Linked DNA regions of Tamandua tetradactyla. The main gene of each other region encodes a partner of the protein of the gene in region 2 in a complex. Links are inferred from orthologs where the notes say so. Each region holds a gene or a part of one and is shown on either strand. Other genes may lie near its edges.

Region 1 (7,696 bases), on a different chromosome or scaffold from region 2:
GGTGAGAACACTGCCACTGCGCCACCACTTTCCGCCCAAGCCTCCAATTTTAAATACTGACAATTCTTTAAAGGTTAAAACCTTATGCAGACTGAATGAAATATTCAACAGGAGTCAATGTGCAACCTCTCCTGAATTTAAATATCTGAAGTACAAGTCTCAGGAGGGCATAGACTGGGTCCAGGAATAATCCAGGCACAAAATTGGGAATAATGTGTTGAAGCTACATGTAGGTATATTTTACTCAATATAAGGAAGAACTTTCTAACAATTGTATCTGGCCAACAAGGAACTGACTGCCTCTTTGTGAAGTACCACTGGAACTCGCCAGAGTTCAGATGATTTCTCAGTAATGTTGCAGGTGAGATTGTACTTGATGGTGTATAAGGCTTCTCCCAACACTGAGTCTGTAGATGTACGGACATACAACATGTTGCAATCTAATTAAAAAGTATTTTCTTTGGAGTATTAAATAAACAATTGATTATGAAGAGGAAGTAAGGTACACAGAGTCCCAAAGGCAGTTGGAGGACTTACACTCCATGAATTAGCTGTTATTGGGCACACATCAGAAAAGTGACTTGGGGATAAGGAGTAAGTATGAAATACTTTCCTTTCAAACTTGTATTTATTTAAAAAAGAAAAATCTTTCACTATTGCTTTTTGGTTACATGGCTGAGAAAAAGCAGAGGTGTGAATTCAAGATTTATTTTTTACCATTGAAAGGGAACAGATTTGTGGTTATGATATGCCAAAAGTGTCTGCTGCTCAACCTGATTGGTCAATAAATTAGATGTGTATGTATTATATACGTATATTAATGAGATCATGGACATGAAGCACTTAGCAAAGCCCTTGGCATATGGCAGGCCCTAATAGGTAAGGTTACCTCTTCCAGGAAACCCCCACAAATGCCCCTTCCTGTGTTCTTTAATTTTCAACCTATAGCTATATCATTGGATTTACAGATTGTGTGTTCTGTGGGATCAGAAACCCAGGGAAATGGAGTGAGTATTCCAAGGTAAGGTCAGACAAGATGAGGCCAGATAACATAAGATCATAAGTCAAAAAATGAGAATGTAGTTTATTCTGCAAGCAACAGAATGCCACTGAAAGGTTTTAAACAAGAAAACAACACGTTCCAATTTACATTTTTAAGAAATCAAGTTGGCTTCTATGGAGAAAACACGTTTTGCTTTGTTTGATTTGGGGTGGAAGGAAGGAAGAATGGAAGCAGGGATAATTGGAAAGCAATCCAAGTTTTAGAGATGAGGGTGTTTTCTATTAAGATGATTGCCACTAAAAGAAGTGGAAAATGCAAAATATGTTTTTTCCAATGTGAAATGAAGAAGTCTGTTAAATATCAGTGTCTTGGAGTATAGTAAAATATATACACACTTATTTAGGATTATAAAAATTAAACTTACTTTAGATACTTGGCATACTCTGGTTCTTTCCAGTAAAGCAAGTACTTAAGATAATTAACAAAAGCTTTGTCTTTGAAGTAACCTCTTTGGGCAAGAACTGAAAGGCATAAAAAAAAAAAAATACATATGTAGGTCAAACCAATCCTTGGACCACTGGTTTGTGACCCCTGACATAAAGAATTCTATTTACATAACATCTCCACCAACATACACTGAATTCAAAACACAAGTTCCAGTTTGCTTAATTGTATCAATATAGGAGTATATCAGTAATCCTACTTATGTTGAGAATGTATAAAAATAAATCTATGAATTGCAACTTTTCTGTCAGAAATCATTAATATCAGCTACTCAATTTAATGAGGTGCTCAACAACTTACAATTAAGGTAATTTGGGTTGGCTAAACATTGCACAAATTCCAACTCCAGCTGAAAACGAAGTCGATTTCCAGCATCATCTAGGAGAGAAGACAGCAAAAATCACCCCCAAAAAACTCACTATATATAATACTGAATTGTAGGGGGGGAAAACAGCAGTAAAGATACCTGACTAATACTGAGATACATTTCTGTATAAAGAAGGGCGTGTGATGGTTTTCTCAAACTGGATGATGGAGGAGATATAGCTTCCTTAGAAGTCTAAGAAAACTACAGCCCTAATTAAGTTTGGAATTTTTCCAAAGTGAAAGCGAAATTAGCAAAGAAAACAATGCACAAGGGGCAGGATAACTACCACCTGAGGAGCCACTATGTAAGGATTATAACAGGGATCATCAGGGTAGGTTGTAAACCTGCCTCTTCTTATTTTAATAATACGCTATAACAATAATTGTAAACAGCTAATTAAAAAGCTAAATTAATAAAGAAAAAATCAGAATGCAAGCTGAAAAAGAAACTACGGAATGTGAAAGTTCACGAGCATGTGCATATGTGAGAAGCAACAACAGCAAAATACACGTGTGTTGACGATATTCCAAACTTATGCAAACTTGAGACTTAGAAAACTAATCAAGAGACTAAGATATAAGCCCTCTTCCTTAGCTTCGCCCACGCCTAGAAGGCTGGAGGGTCGCTGCTTAGATGAGAAGTAAGGAGAAAAGATTTGCGAACAAACGAAACTCTGAAAAAGCAACATCGCCTTGACCTTCCTAGATGCTACAAGGGCCATTGCCCCTTCTGGTCAGAACTTAAATCCTTCCGGGGGTGAAAGGCCTGGCAGGAGGCCCAGCGGGACAGTGTCCTATTTGCGAAGACTCGATGCTCAGAGCGCCACTTACCAGTCTCCATAGCGACAGCAGCGGCCATTGCAAGCAAAGCCACTAAACAGCCACTACTCAAACAAAGCAACCGGCCAGAACAGCAGGGCAGACTCCGGAAGTCACCGCTTCAGCTTCCCGTCCCGGGGCAGCGTGGGATACAGGGCGGGCGGAGCCTCGCTCGGAGGCGGGCGGCCCCGCCCATCCCTGCCCCGCCCCGGCCCCGCCCCCGCAAGGTCTCCCAGGCCGGGGAGCAGGTGCACCAGCCAGCTGAAGCCCGCCCCGCCTCCCCTGACGGAGCGTCTGAGGGGGAGGGCCCACGGTTTTGAAGGGAAATCTCAGCCCCGCACAGGACTGTCGTGCTCCCGCGTCATCGGGTCATGTATTCTCGCCTGTGACAATAACGTAACCTTTCACCACTGTGCCTGCGATGATGTAACACGTCATTATGACGCCATTCCTTACCATGGGGCCCTGTGACGTAGCACACCGACGTAACTGAGGGAACTCACTGGGCTGGGGGGCCTCCCGAGGCCTCCTTGGCCCGCAGTACACCCTCGAATGGCCTCGCCCCATCGGGGAAAGCCCCGAGTGGAGACCGCCGGCTACAAGGAGACGTCGACGGTCCACGTGGAGACATCGTCCCACTGCGTGGAGGCATCCTCTCGGCAGGTGCGAACGTCTTCCCATCAGGTGGAGACCTGCCAGCGTCACAGCGAGGAACCCACCTTTTCCCCCTCTGGGAAACGGCTTCTTTGCTTCCTGGAGGTGGCCTCCCAGCATGTGGAAACCACTTCACAGCGCACGGAAACGTCCTCCCGTCAGGTCAGGGCCTCGTCTATGCGGATGGAGACGTCTCTGCACCGTGGAGAGAGTCTTCCCCGGCGGGACCAGCCGGCAGCCAGCCAGAATGTAAAAATGACGCGATGAAATGCCTACCAAAGGCCACATGAAGAGGCCATGGCGCGTAGCCATAGCAGAATTGCCTCCGGGTTCCAGCTACTCAGTTGCCAAGTGAACAATCATCCTTGTTTTCATGAAACAGCCCATAAATCAACGTCAGCAGTAGGCAGACTGCAGTTTCTGGCCTTGGCCAACATTTATTGACTGTGGACCTTTCTGCTTTTGACCCAGTGAACTATTTTAACTTGAAGCCAGCACAAGAAGTTGTCAGACCTATGACACTGTATTAATTGGACTGAATGGACAAAGAGGCGGTTTGAGCTACCAAGCCAGGTGAGTTTTACATTCATACTCAGTGATAATGACCTTCATAGCTTCAAATACAGAACAAGGGACCGAACTGAAATCATGACTAGTGGAAGCATTATATGCCTGTTAAAAACCTGAGGATGAGAAACAGACTCGCATAAATGAATTGATTAGCCTTTTTTTTATTAGCCTTTGTTTATGTTTCCGAATAAGTGATTAATTATTTTTTTATACTAAGTTCTTGTTCATGGTACCATACCCATATAGGTCAAAATGTATTAAAAATCGAAGGTAAGGGGTGGAGTGCCAGGATAGTTCAGTGGTAGAATTCTCGCCTACCATGCAGGTCTCAGCCCGTGCACTCCCCCCACCCCCCAAAAATTCTTTTTTTCAACAAATGGTGCTGTAATAACTGAATACTCATAAGGAAAAAGTATGAAATATGATCCCCCATACAGCATATTAAAAAAAAATGAAAGTAGGCACCAGTAAAAATTCAAGAATGATCTTAGAAGGTAAAGTGAGAGGTCATTGAAACTTGATCCAGATTCGAGGAAAGTGAAAGGGAGGAATATGTATTGAGTACTTCCATGCCAGGCATTATACTAAGCACTTGGGTAGTAGCACTGAACAAGACAGACAAGCTTCTCGTGGAGTTTACATGCTGGTGAAGAGTCAGACAACAAACCTATGATTAAAGACAGTTTTCTGTTTTGATTAGCACCATGAAGGAAATAAATGAGTAGTGGGCTACGGAATGAGAGTAAGAGTGTCCTTTAGGTTGGATGGTCAAGGAAGGCTTTGCAGAGGACTCAACATTTGAGATTTGTATGGGTGAACAGTGAGCCCTACAGAGACTGGAGAGAATGCATTCTTATGGCAGAGGGAACAGCAAGTGCAAAACATTGGGTGAAAACAATCTTGGCATGTTTAGAGAACAAAAAGAATGTGTATCTGGAGCTTAGTAAGCATGGGGAACGGTGGCATGGAAGATTGATGAATTTAGAGAAGTAGGGTTCTGTGAACCATGGATTTTTTTTTCTTATATTGTGAAATATAACATATAGAAAAAAGCAATAAATTTCAAAGCATGCTGCACCAATTAGTCATAGAACAGATTTCAGAGTTTGATATGGGTTATAGTTCCACAATTTTAGGTTTTGCCTTCTAGCTACTACAAGACACTGGAGACTAAAAGAAATATCAATATAATGATTCAGCAGTCATACTCATTTGTTAAATCCTATTGTCTCTGTTATAACTCCTCCTCCTCCTCTGATCTTCTCCAAATCTTTAGGGGTTTTGGGTTATGCGTATTCTAACTTTTTCATATTGGAAAGGAGTGTTGACAGTATGGGATAGGGGGATGAAACTAGTTGTTCTTGGAAAGGCTGGCCCTCTAGGTTTTAGGACTTCTCTGGCCTAGGAACCTATTTGGAGGTTGTAGATTTCTGGAAAATAATCGTACTGCATGGAACCTTTGTAGAATCTCAGATAAAGCCCTAAGTGTTCTTTAGGATTGGCAGTAATGGTTTGATTGGGGTTTAACGAACCATGATAAATAGCAATATCTAGCTGAAGCCTGTGTAAGAATAGCCTCCAGGGTAGCCTCTGGAATCTATTTGAACCATCTCAGCCACTGATACCTTATTTGTTACAAATCTTTCCCCCTTTTGGTCAGGAAGGCATTGTCAATCCCATGGTGCCAGGACTAGGCCCATCCCTGAGAGTCATATCCCACGTTGCCAGGGAAGCCATAGATTTTCTTCCAAGGTTATTGGGAAGACATTGAAGGGTTTCAGCAGGACAGTGGCATAATGCAATTTACATTATTAAAAGAGCCTTCTGGCTTCTGTGTGTAGAGTGGATATAGGATGGTGGCTCTCAACTGTGAGTGGTTTTGTTCCTCAGAAGACATTTATCCATGTCTAGAAACAGTTAGTCAATAACTGAAGGAGTGGGGTGCATCTAGTAGTCAGAGATGCAGTTAGACATCCTACGATGCACAGGACAGCCCCAGCCCCCATAGCAAAGAAGGCTGCTGTGAAAAAGCCAGATTCTGGTTACTAGATGATTGTTTTTCTTGGAAGGATATGGGATCCAATACCTTCTTTATTTTCGCTATTCTTATTTCATAAGTGTTTCTTCTAAGTCTCTTCCTCCCAAATTCATTTATTCATGTTTCAAAGCTGAAATCCAAAATGACATACAGGGCAGAAAGTATCAAAAAAGGTGAGACATGGGGAAGGAAAAGGATGTGACAGTATATTGACCATACATGCTGTTTTTTACAGCAAGTTCTCCAGCTTTAAAATTATCCTGTAAGTTGAAGAAGCATATGTCTTTTTTGTGATGATTTTTAATGTACCTGCTATATATTTTAAGTGTGTGTTACCCATACTGTGTGTCTTCCTCCTCATATTGTCCTCTTTTGGAAGCTCCACAGAAACAAGGATGCTGTTGTATTTGTGATGTGGCACCATGTGGGTAGAATAAAGAGCAAAGAGCAATACTCTCCCTCCATGCTTAGCCAAGAAAGTTTGTAATGGCTTGATCTAATAATCCTTCGGATTTATTGCAGAAGATAATAATTGTGATTTCCCTTCAGTTATTTCCAACCAGGTTAGTTTGAAAAACTATGCAAGTAAAAATCCTTCTAAGGAAGGAGTCAGTCCTCATTCTCCTCAGAATTCACTCATTTGTTTATAAGCTAAGGGCAGCTTGCAAAATTCAGCATGTCTTTGCTATGCTGTTGAAAATACTTGAAATGCAAGATACCATTAATCAAATACTCTTTCCCCAGGCCACACAAGCCATGAGGAGAATCGAGAGTCTAACCAGCAAGGAATTTTACTGAAGTTCTCATCTAAATTTACTAGGATTCCTGTTCCTCTATTATTTCTGTTTCCCACCTCAGCATGGCTAGCACAGGTATCCAGGCCCTGGATACTTGACTTGGCCTTTTCACCATCACCTCCTCAGTCTTTAAATGAACAACCTTTTTCCTCTCTGCTTATCGCACCAACAGCTTCTGTAAGCACTTATCTGTCTGTTAGAATCATATGGCTACAAATAACAGAAGACCTGCCCCAAAGTGGCTGAAATAAATAGGAATTCATTTGTCTCACACAATAAGAAGCCTGAGATAGACCATCTAGGCTAGTGTCTCATCCCAAAATGCTTTTGTGGATCCAACCTGTTCATATTTTTCAGTTTTACCATCCCTAGTTCATTAGCTTTTGCCTTAAGATTTACTACCTTATGATTACGAGATACTTCTGTTTATCTCCAGTTCTCACCTCTGCATTCAAAATAGACAAAAGGGATGAGGGAAGGAGCCAAGGATTTTCTCCTAGCAAGGCTTTGCCTTATTTACTGTTTAAATCTCATTGGCTAGAACTGGATCATAAGACTACCCTTAGCTACAAGGGAGGCTAGGAAAATCAAGCTTTCTAGCTTCCATGGGAAAGAATGTGATTAGGAATTGGTGCTGAGTAAGCCAATCTATAGTTTTTGCCATACCTTCTTCCAAGTGTGACACTTCATTTAGATGATCATCAGTAGTTCTGTCAGAACCCTAACATGTAACCTTGTTCTCTTCATCTTTAGCGTATCATTGATCAAAGGACTTAGAGCGTGTCCTGAAGTGCTGAGGAGCAGAGCATCTGATCACTGATCCTACGGTATTTAGAACCAATCTTTGCTTTCCAGTGCAGCGTCTTGATCTTGTTTGTTATTTTCTCTCAAGGTTAGAGAAATGTTTGCCAAAGGGTCTCTGTTCATTGATTATGAGATCCCGGT
Region 2 (7,736 bases):
ATTAGGCAACGGTATAGAGAGAAATTAATTATGTAAATGGTCCTGACGTACTAAAATTTATCTTTTAGTCCCATTTTTATAAAAATGGCATAAAATATAATTAAAAAGTAGGATCTTTTTTAAATTAAAAAAAATTAAGAACAAAAACATTAACATATAATTCCGTTCTACATATATATTCAGTAATTCTCAATATCATCACATAGTTGCATATTCCTCGTTTCTTAGAACATTGGCATCCATTCAGAAAAAGAAACAAAAAGACAATAGAAAAATAAAATGAGCACAGGAAAGAAAAAAAAAAGATTATACCTACTATACCCCTTACCCCTCACTTTCATTGATCACAAGCATTTCAAACTAAATTTATCTTAGCATTTGTTCGCCCTATTATTTATTTTTATTCCATATGTTCTACTCCTCTGTTGACAAGGTAGATAAAAGGAGCATCAGACACAAGGTTTTCATAATCACACAGTCACATTGTGACAGCTGTATCATTATTCAATCATCCTCAAGAAACATGGCTACTGGAACACAGCTCTACATTTTCAGGCAGTTCCCTCCACCGGCTCCATTACATCTTGAATAACAAGATGATATCTACTTGATGCATAAGAGTAACCTCCAGGATAACCTCTCAACTCTGTTTGGAATCTCTCAGCCATTGCCACTTTGTCTCATTTCCCTCTTCCCCCTTTTGGTCAAGAAGGTTTTCTCAATCCCTTGATGCTGAGTCTCAGCTCACCCTAGGATCTCTGTCCCACGTTGCCATGAAGGTCCACACCCCTGGGAGTCATGTCCCACGTAGAGAGGGGTCGGGCGGTGAGTTGCTTGTTGTGTTGGCTGGAGAGAGAGGCCACATCTGAGCAACAAAAGAGGCTCTCTTGGGGGTGACTCTTAGGCCTAAATTTTAAGTAGACTTGACCTATCCTTTTCAGGGTTAAGCTTCATATGAACAAACCCCAAGACTGGGGGCTCAGCCTATAGCTTTGGTTGTCCATACTGCTTGTGAGAATATCAAGAATTCAACTTGGAGAAGTTGAATTTCTCCCCATTCTCACCATTCCCTGAAGGGGGCTTTGCAAATACTTCTCCACTTACTGATCGAATCGCTCTGGGATTCATCTGGGCATCTAAAAGTAGGATCTTTTGAAATAGCATGGATATATTAGAGCTAATACTGTTTGAAAAAGGAAAGAAGAAAAACATAAGTCATGTGAGTGTAGGGAGCTAGAAAAATAAGACAAAACTTAATACAGAGAAGGCTGAGTTTAATAAATGAGTGCTGAATCATTATGCTGATATTTCTTTTAGCCTCTAGTAGCTTAGAGCAGCTAAAAATCAAAACCTAAAATTGTAGAATTGGATCACATACCAAACTCTGAAATCTGTTCTACAACTAATTGTTATGATGTACTTTGAAATTTATTGCTTTTATGTACATATGTTATTTAAAGAGGAGGAACTGTAACCCATACCAAACTTTAAAATCTGTTCTATAACTACTTGTTAAAATGTACTGGGAAAGAGCAATCTGACAGTGAATAAAGAACTATTTGCAAAGTCTCCTTGGAGGGAATGGGGAGAAGGGGAAAAATTCAACTTCCCCATTTGGAGAATTCCTGATATTCTCGTTAGTGGGGACAACCAAATCAATAGCTTGAGCCCTCAATCTTGAGGTCTGCCCCAATGAAACTTATCCCTGCAAATGATAGGCTAAGTCTACTTAAAATTATGCCTAAAAGTCATCCCCAGAGAACCTATTTTGTTGCTCACATATGGCCTCTCTCTCTCTCTCTCTAGACAACATAGCAAGTGAATTCACTGCCCTCCCCACTCTAAGTGGGGCATGACTCCCAGGGGTATAAACCTCCCTCACAATGTGGGATAGAAATCCTGGGATGAGCTGGGACTCAGCATCAAGGGATTGAGAAAACCTTCTCAACCAAAAGGGGGGAAAAGAGAAATAGACAAAATAAAGTGTCAATGGCTGAGAGATTTCAAACAGAGTTGAGAAGTTATCCTGGAGGTTATTCTTACGCATTATATATATTAGAATGGCTAGAGGGAAGGACCTGAAACTGTAGAGTGTGTTCCAGTAGCCATGTTTCTTGAAGATGATTGTATAATGAAATAGTTTTTGCAATATGACTGTGTGGTTGTGAAAACCTTGTGTCTGATGCTCCTTTTATCAACGGTATGGACAGATGAGTAAAAAATATAGATAAAAAATAAACAAATAAGGGAAACAAAGGCTATAATAAAACTGAGTAGACTGAAACATTAGTTAGTGGTCAATAAGAGGGAAGAGTAAGAGGTATGGTATGTATGAGTTTTTTCTTTTATACTTCCTTAGATAGAGAGATGCAAATGTTCAAAAAAGTGATCATGGTGATAAATACCCATCTGTGGGATGATACTGTGAGCCACTGAATGTACACCATATATAGAATGCTTGCATGTCAAGAATGTTTGTACGTTTGTTTGCTGTGTACAATAAAAATATTTTTAAAAATGTACTTGGAAATATATTGCTTTTTTTTGTACATATATTTCACACACAAAAAAAAAGTTAAAAAAAAAATTTCAAGATGAGCCACCCTCGTCAGAACATAGATGCTACTATATACCGGCAGGCATAGGGTTTTTTTTGTTTGCTTCTGTTTTTGTTTTAGTTTTCAAAGCACTCTTCAATGAGGATAGATTCCAGAGTTTGTCATGGGCTACCATACCATCACCTCAGATTTTTCCTACTACTTGCTCCAGAACATTGGAGGCTAGAAGGAATATTTTTTTACCATCACAACTAACCTTTTCTGTGTGTGTGAAAAATAATACATAGCAAAAAAGCAATAAATTTCAAATCACATTGCCTCATTAGTTGTAGAACAGATTTCAGAGTTTGGTATGGGTTCACAGTTGTAAGTTTTTACTTCTAGCTGCTCTAAGATACTGGAGACTAAAAGAAATACCAACATAATGATTCGACAATCATACTTGTTTGTTAAACCCTACCTTCTCTATATAGTTCCACCATACCTTTGATCTTTCTCCCACTCTTTAGGGGTAATTTGGGCTACGTCCAGTGTAACTTTTTCATGTTGGAAGGGGCTGTCTATACTATGGGGTAGGGAGATGGGTGTAGCTGACATCCGGAGAGACTGGGGCCCTCTAGGTTTCAGGACTTATCTGGTCCAGGGATCCATCTGGAGGTTGCAGTTTTCTGGAAAGCTACCCTAGTACATGGAACCTTTGTAGAACCTTATATATTGCCCTAGGTGTTCTTTAGGATTGGCTGTAATAGTTTTGGTTGAGGTTTGGCAATTTATGACAGGCAGCAATGCCTAACTGAGGTTTGTTTAAGAATGAGTTCCAGAGTAGCCTCTGCACTTTATTTGAACTCTCTCAGCTATTGATACTGTATTTGTCACACTTCTTTTCCCCTTTTTGGTCAGGATGGCATTGTTGATCCCTCCACACCAGGGAGACACTCACCCCTGGACGTCATGACATAGGTTTTAACTCATTTTTCTGAGCAGTACTTCCAAGCCTACCCAGGAAGCACCACAGGAGCTTGAGATAGATTTCTCTTTGATGTTTGTTGTTGTTGTTGTTTTTTATTTTTATTTTTTTTAACAATTCCTTTACAATAGGTCTAACAATTTTATTCATCCTTGCAGTTCAGGATCCAGTATGCCTGGCATATATAGGTTGCATCCTGGAAATGTTTACTGAATTAAGCGGTGACCTAATGTGTAGGTACTATGGCGAAAGAGTGGTTTTAACTTCCAGGCACTCACTAGCTGTAAGACTTGGGACTAGCTGCCTAACCACGATGAGGTCAATTCCCTCGTCAGTAAAACGGAAATACTACTACTTGCCTTACCGACCTCGGTAGCTCCTTAAGTTGTTTTTAAAAAGTGGGCAGCAAAGAGCTCTGAGAAGGGGAAAGCGTTGCACACGAGGAGAAAGGAAGACCACTGATAAGCGTGAACGATGAGATGGAAAGACACGGTGAGATGGAAAAACCCTGGGGCTGTTATGCAGTACGTGGGACCGACCGGCTGCGCGACCCCGAGAAGACCACGCCTCTCTGTTTTCCCACCTTGGAAGACGTAGAGATCGCGACGCAATGGCAGTCAAGGCCCTACGCTCTAAGTCCTTCAGTCCGCTACAGGCTCGGGACCTCGGGTATCCTCAGAAAGATGAACCCCGGGGCTCCCAGACGCGCTCGCTGGGGTAGGGAAAGTCAAGGTCGCGGGTGCCAGGCGGGGGTCGCTCACCCAGTCAAAGTCACAAGGGTTACCATCTTCGCGTTGCGTAGGGAGGCCGCTGCATACTGGCGGGAGCTTCCTCACGAGTAGGAAGGCGGCAGAAAGCAGGGCTGACAGAAGGTAGTAGGGTCGGGCCAGCCATCGTGAAAGTCGCGGCACCGAATACACCAGAGCAATTAAAGGTGCGAGGACCGCCATCTTCCCGGCCCTTGCGGCGCCCGCCGCTCACCGGCCGTGGTAGGTTTGGTCCCGGCTCCCCTCTCCTTGGTACTTCCATTGGGCCGAGTTCCGGATGCGCCGCCCCTTGACCCGGAAGTAGGTCCAGATTGGCTTCTATGGCGCATAAAAGGCGATGTGAGCCACTATTGGCCAATCTGGCAATCCCTCTTCCTACCTAAGTCGTTTTACTGGATCTGAAACTGTAACCAGTGGAGCTATCAGAAAATTTAATAAGGTTAGCTAGCACTTCCCGAACGTTCCGTGAAAGCGACGGAAGTGGTCGCCGGAAGAAGGCAGGCGGGCACAGAGGCATCCAGTGCTAAGCGGCTCCGAGAGTCGGAGGGCGTTTCCCGAGGCGCCGCTGGGGCCATGGAGAATTTCACGGCGCTGTTCGGAGCTCAGGCTGATCCACCACCACCCCCATCCGCGCTCGGATACGGACCCGGAAAGCCTCCACCCCCGCCTCCGCCCCCTCCGGGAGGGGGACCCGGTACCGTTCCGCCCCCTACGGCGGCTACGGCCCCTCCCGGCGCCGACAAGTCAGGGGCTGGTTGTGGCCCCTTTTACCTGATGCGGGAACTGCCAGGTGGGTGCTAGGCATGGCCGAAACCAGCCAATCAGATCATAGAGAGCGTAGTGGGCGTGCCTGTCAGCTGGCTGGTGCCAGGTAACCGAGGAATCGCGTACCCTGACAGTGGAGCTCAAAGCCGAAAGATCTCTGAGGATCAGCCCCCAAAGCGATGGCATGGATTCATGGGATGGGGAAAGGGGGTTGTATCTTCCACGCCACATCCGGCCTGTGTCCCTGACACTAGTTTATGTTTCCCTAAAAATGGCCCAGGGTTTGAGTTTGTATCTGGAGAGGCCTGATTTAACATCCCAGGAAACCTAAGTTTTCAGTTTCAAGTCGGCTACAATCTTGTTGGTTTGGGGTAAGTTGATTTCCTTCCTAGGGCCTCGGCATTTCTTCAGCTGTGCGAAGAAGGGTTTGGAATTGAACCAGATTCTTTTAATGCAAAATTTTATTTTGTTGAGCACCCTACTGTGTACCAAGCACTTTTCTAAATGCTGAGGCTACAGCTGTGAACAAGACTGACAAAATCCTTACGTTTTTGAAGTTTACATTTCAGTGGGTAGACACATAAGTGAAATAATATAGTTAGTGATTAATGCCAGGAGGAGAAAATATGATAAAGAATGGAACAGGAGGAACTACTTTAGCTAGCGTGATCAGAGAAGTGCTCTCTGAGTAGATAAGATTGGAACGAAAATCAGCATGGAGAAAGGATAAGCCCTGCATGTGTGGAGAGAGGGGATAATTTTAAAAACATGGTATGAAAGCTAAATCTCTGATGTGAGAAAGATTTGGACTAGCAGAAGACAAATTGGGCCCAGTTAAGTGAACAAGGAGAATAGTGGTAGGAAGTGAAAGTGGGAGAGGTAGGCAGAGGCCTTTACACCATAATGTAAGATTTTAAGTTCTAGGGGATGCCGTTGTGGATTTTAACACAAGGGAATGTCATGATCTAATGTATTTCTTTTTAAATCACTTAAGCAGTCATGTGAAGAATGGAAAGTGGGGAAGAGTTGATGGTTTAGACTAGAGCTAGGGCAGTAGAGGATAGAAGTGAATAGCAGCAGAATAAATTTTAAAGGTAGCGCTAACAAAAGATGGATTTAAGTAAGAAATTGATAATGACTTCTAAGTTTTTAGCTTGAATAACTGGATATATGGTAGTGCTGAGACTGGTTGGAGGGTTTTGAAATAAAGTCTTTTTGGACATAAGTGTCTGAGAAGCTTTTTTGTTCAGCCCAGGTCCTACTACCACATTATAGTTGAGGGAGATGATAATAACAATTATCAGTGCAGTACTTTATGCTATAACATTTAATATAGAACAGTCCCTTGACTGTTATCAGCATTTTATAGTTGAAAAACTAAAGCTTAGAGAGGTGAGCCTCCAGCAGTTTCTTTCATCTTTCCTTTGTCTTACTCATTTTGACTGTACCTATATATACATCAATGAGTGGACAGATACGAAACTTCTATTCTGGGAAACTACTGGGTATGTGGTAATGACAGCATGTGGTGGGAAAGGGAGAAAAAGTAGTATGTCTGGTCCTTGTTTTTAAGGAGATTTTTTTAGTTGTAGATGTGAAATATGTGGTTTAGGGATAAAGTAAGGGAGTGTATTTCTAGTCAAAGCCAATCTCATTACTTTGTGGTCAAATTTCACATATATAGCAACTAAAAATAATACCATTGCAAACGATATTGAGAACTACATGAAGGTTTTCAAAATGTGTTCCTTATCATCCACAGTGAGAGCAACAGTAAAATGTGACTTGAGATGGACCATGAAGAATTCATATTGGTGAAGAAAATTGGGAAGAAATTTCCTAAAAGGAAACACTATGAGGGGTGGGTTTTTCTTTTCAGGAGATGATAGAGACTTATCTTGTTGACTGAAAAATCTTGCATAGGCGAGTAGTGATAAGGCCTCAAAGATAAATTGGGATAAGATGCACTTAGTCGTCAGTGCCAAAGAAATTTAACCTTTTCCCTGAAGGTAATAGGAAACCACTGAGATTTTTGAACTGAGGAATACAGCTTTTTAAAAATGTCTAGAAACCTTGAGATTTTGTTGGTTTGTCCAGAGTGATGCCCCGATAAATCCCAAAGTGATTTGAACAGTGAATAAAAAAGTATTTGCAAAGTCCCCTTGGGGGAATGGTGAGAAAGGGGGAAAATTCAACTTCCCCAAGTTGAATTCTTGATATCTCACAAGCAGTGGGGACAACCAAAGCAATAGGCTGAGCCCCCGATCTTGGGGTTTGTTCATATGAAAATTAACCCCACGAAGGATAGGTCAAGCCTACCTAAAATTAGGCCTAAGAGTCACCCCCAAGAGATCCTCTTCTGTTGCTCAAATGTGGCCTCTCTCTCCAGCCAACACAACAAACAAACTCACCGCCCTCCCCATCTCTACGTGGGACATGACTCCCAGGGGTGTGGACCTTCCTGGCAACGTGGGACAGAATGAGCTGAGACTCAGCATCAAGGGATTGAAAAAACCTTCTCGACCAAAAGGGAGAAGAGTGAAATGAGGCAAAATAAAGTGTCAATGGCTGAGAGATTCCAAACAGAGTCAAGAGCTTATCCTGGAGGTTATTCTTACACATTAAATAGATACCACCTTGTTAGTCAAGATGTATTGGAGAGGCTGGAGGGAACTGCCT

The links. Proteins that work in one complex are often made in the same cells at the same time.
Region 1: MED19 (region 2) and MED31 share a complex: the UniProt entries of both Homo sapiens proteins name them as parts of the mediator complex. The link is inferred for Tamandua tetradactyla from reciprocal best matches to the Homo sapiens genes MED19 and MED31.

The regions. Positions count from the first base shown.
Region 1 is NC_135332.1:58,835,599-58,843,294, reverse strand, and holds the start of MED31 (mediator of RNA polymerase II transcription subunit 31), read right to left. Parts: upstream 3,097-7,696; 5' UTR 2,733-3,096; coding exon 2,705-2,732; intron 1,886-2,704; coding exon 1,808-1,885; intron 1,525-1,807; coding exon 1,428-1,524; intron 1-1,427. Other genes in the region: C6H17orf100 (uncharacterized protein C17orf100 homolog), read left to right, coding at 3,245-3,613. UniProt on the Homo sapiens protein: Component of the Mediator complex, a coactivator involved in the regulated transcription of nearly all RNA polymerase II-dependent genes.
Region 2 is NC_135335.1:19,872,562-19,880,297, forward strand, and holds the start of MED19 (mediator of RNA polymerase II transcription subunit 19), read left to right. Parts: upstream 1-4,649; 5' UTR 4,650-4,865; coding exon 4,866-5,082; exon of another isoform or gene 5,083-5,175; intron 5,176-7,736. Other genes in the region: TMX2 (thioredoxin-related transmembrane protein 2), read right to left, coding at 4,287-4,475. UniProt on the Homo sapiens protein: Component of the Mediator complex, a coactivator involved in the regulated transcription of nearly all RNA polymerase II-dependent genes.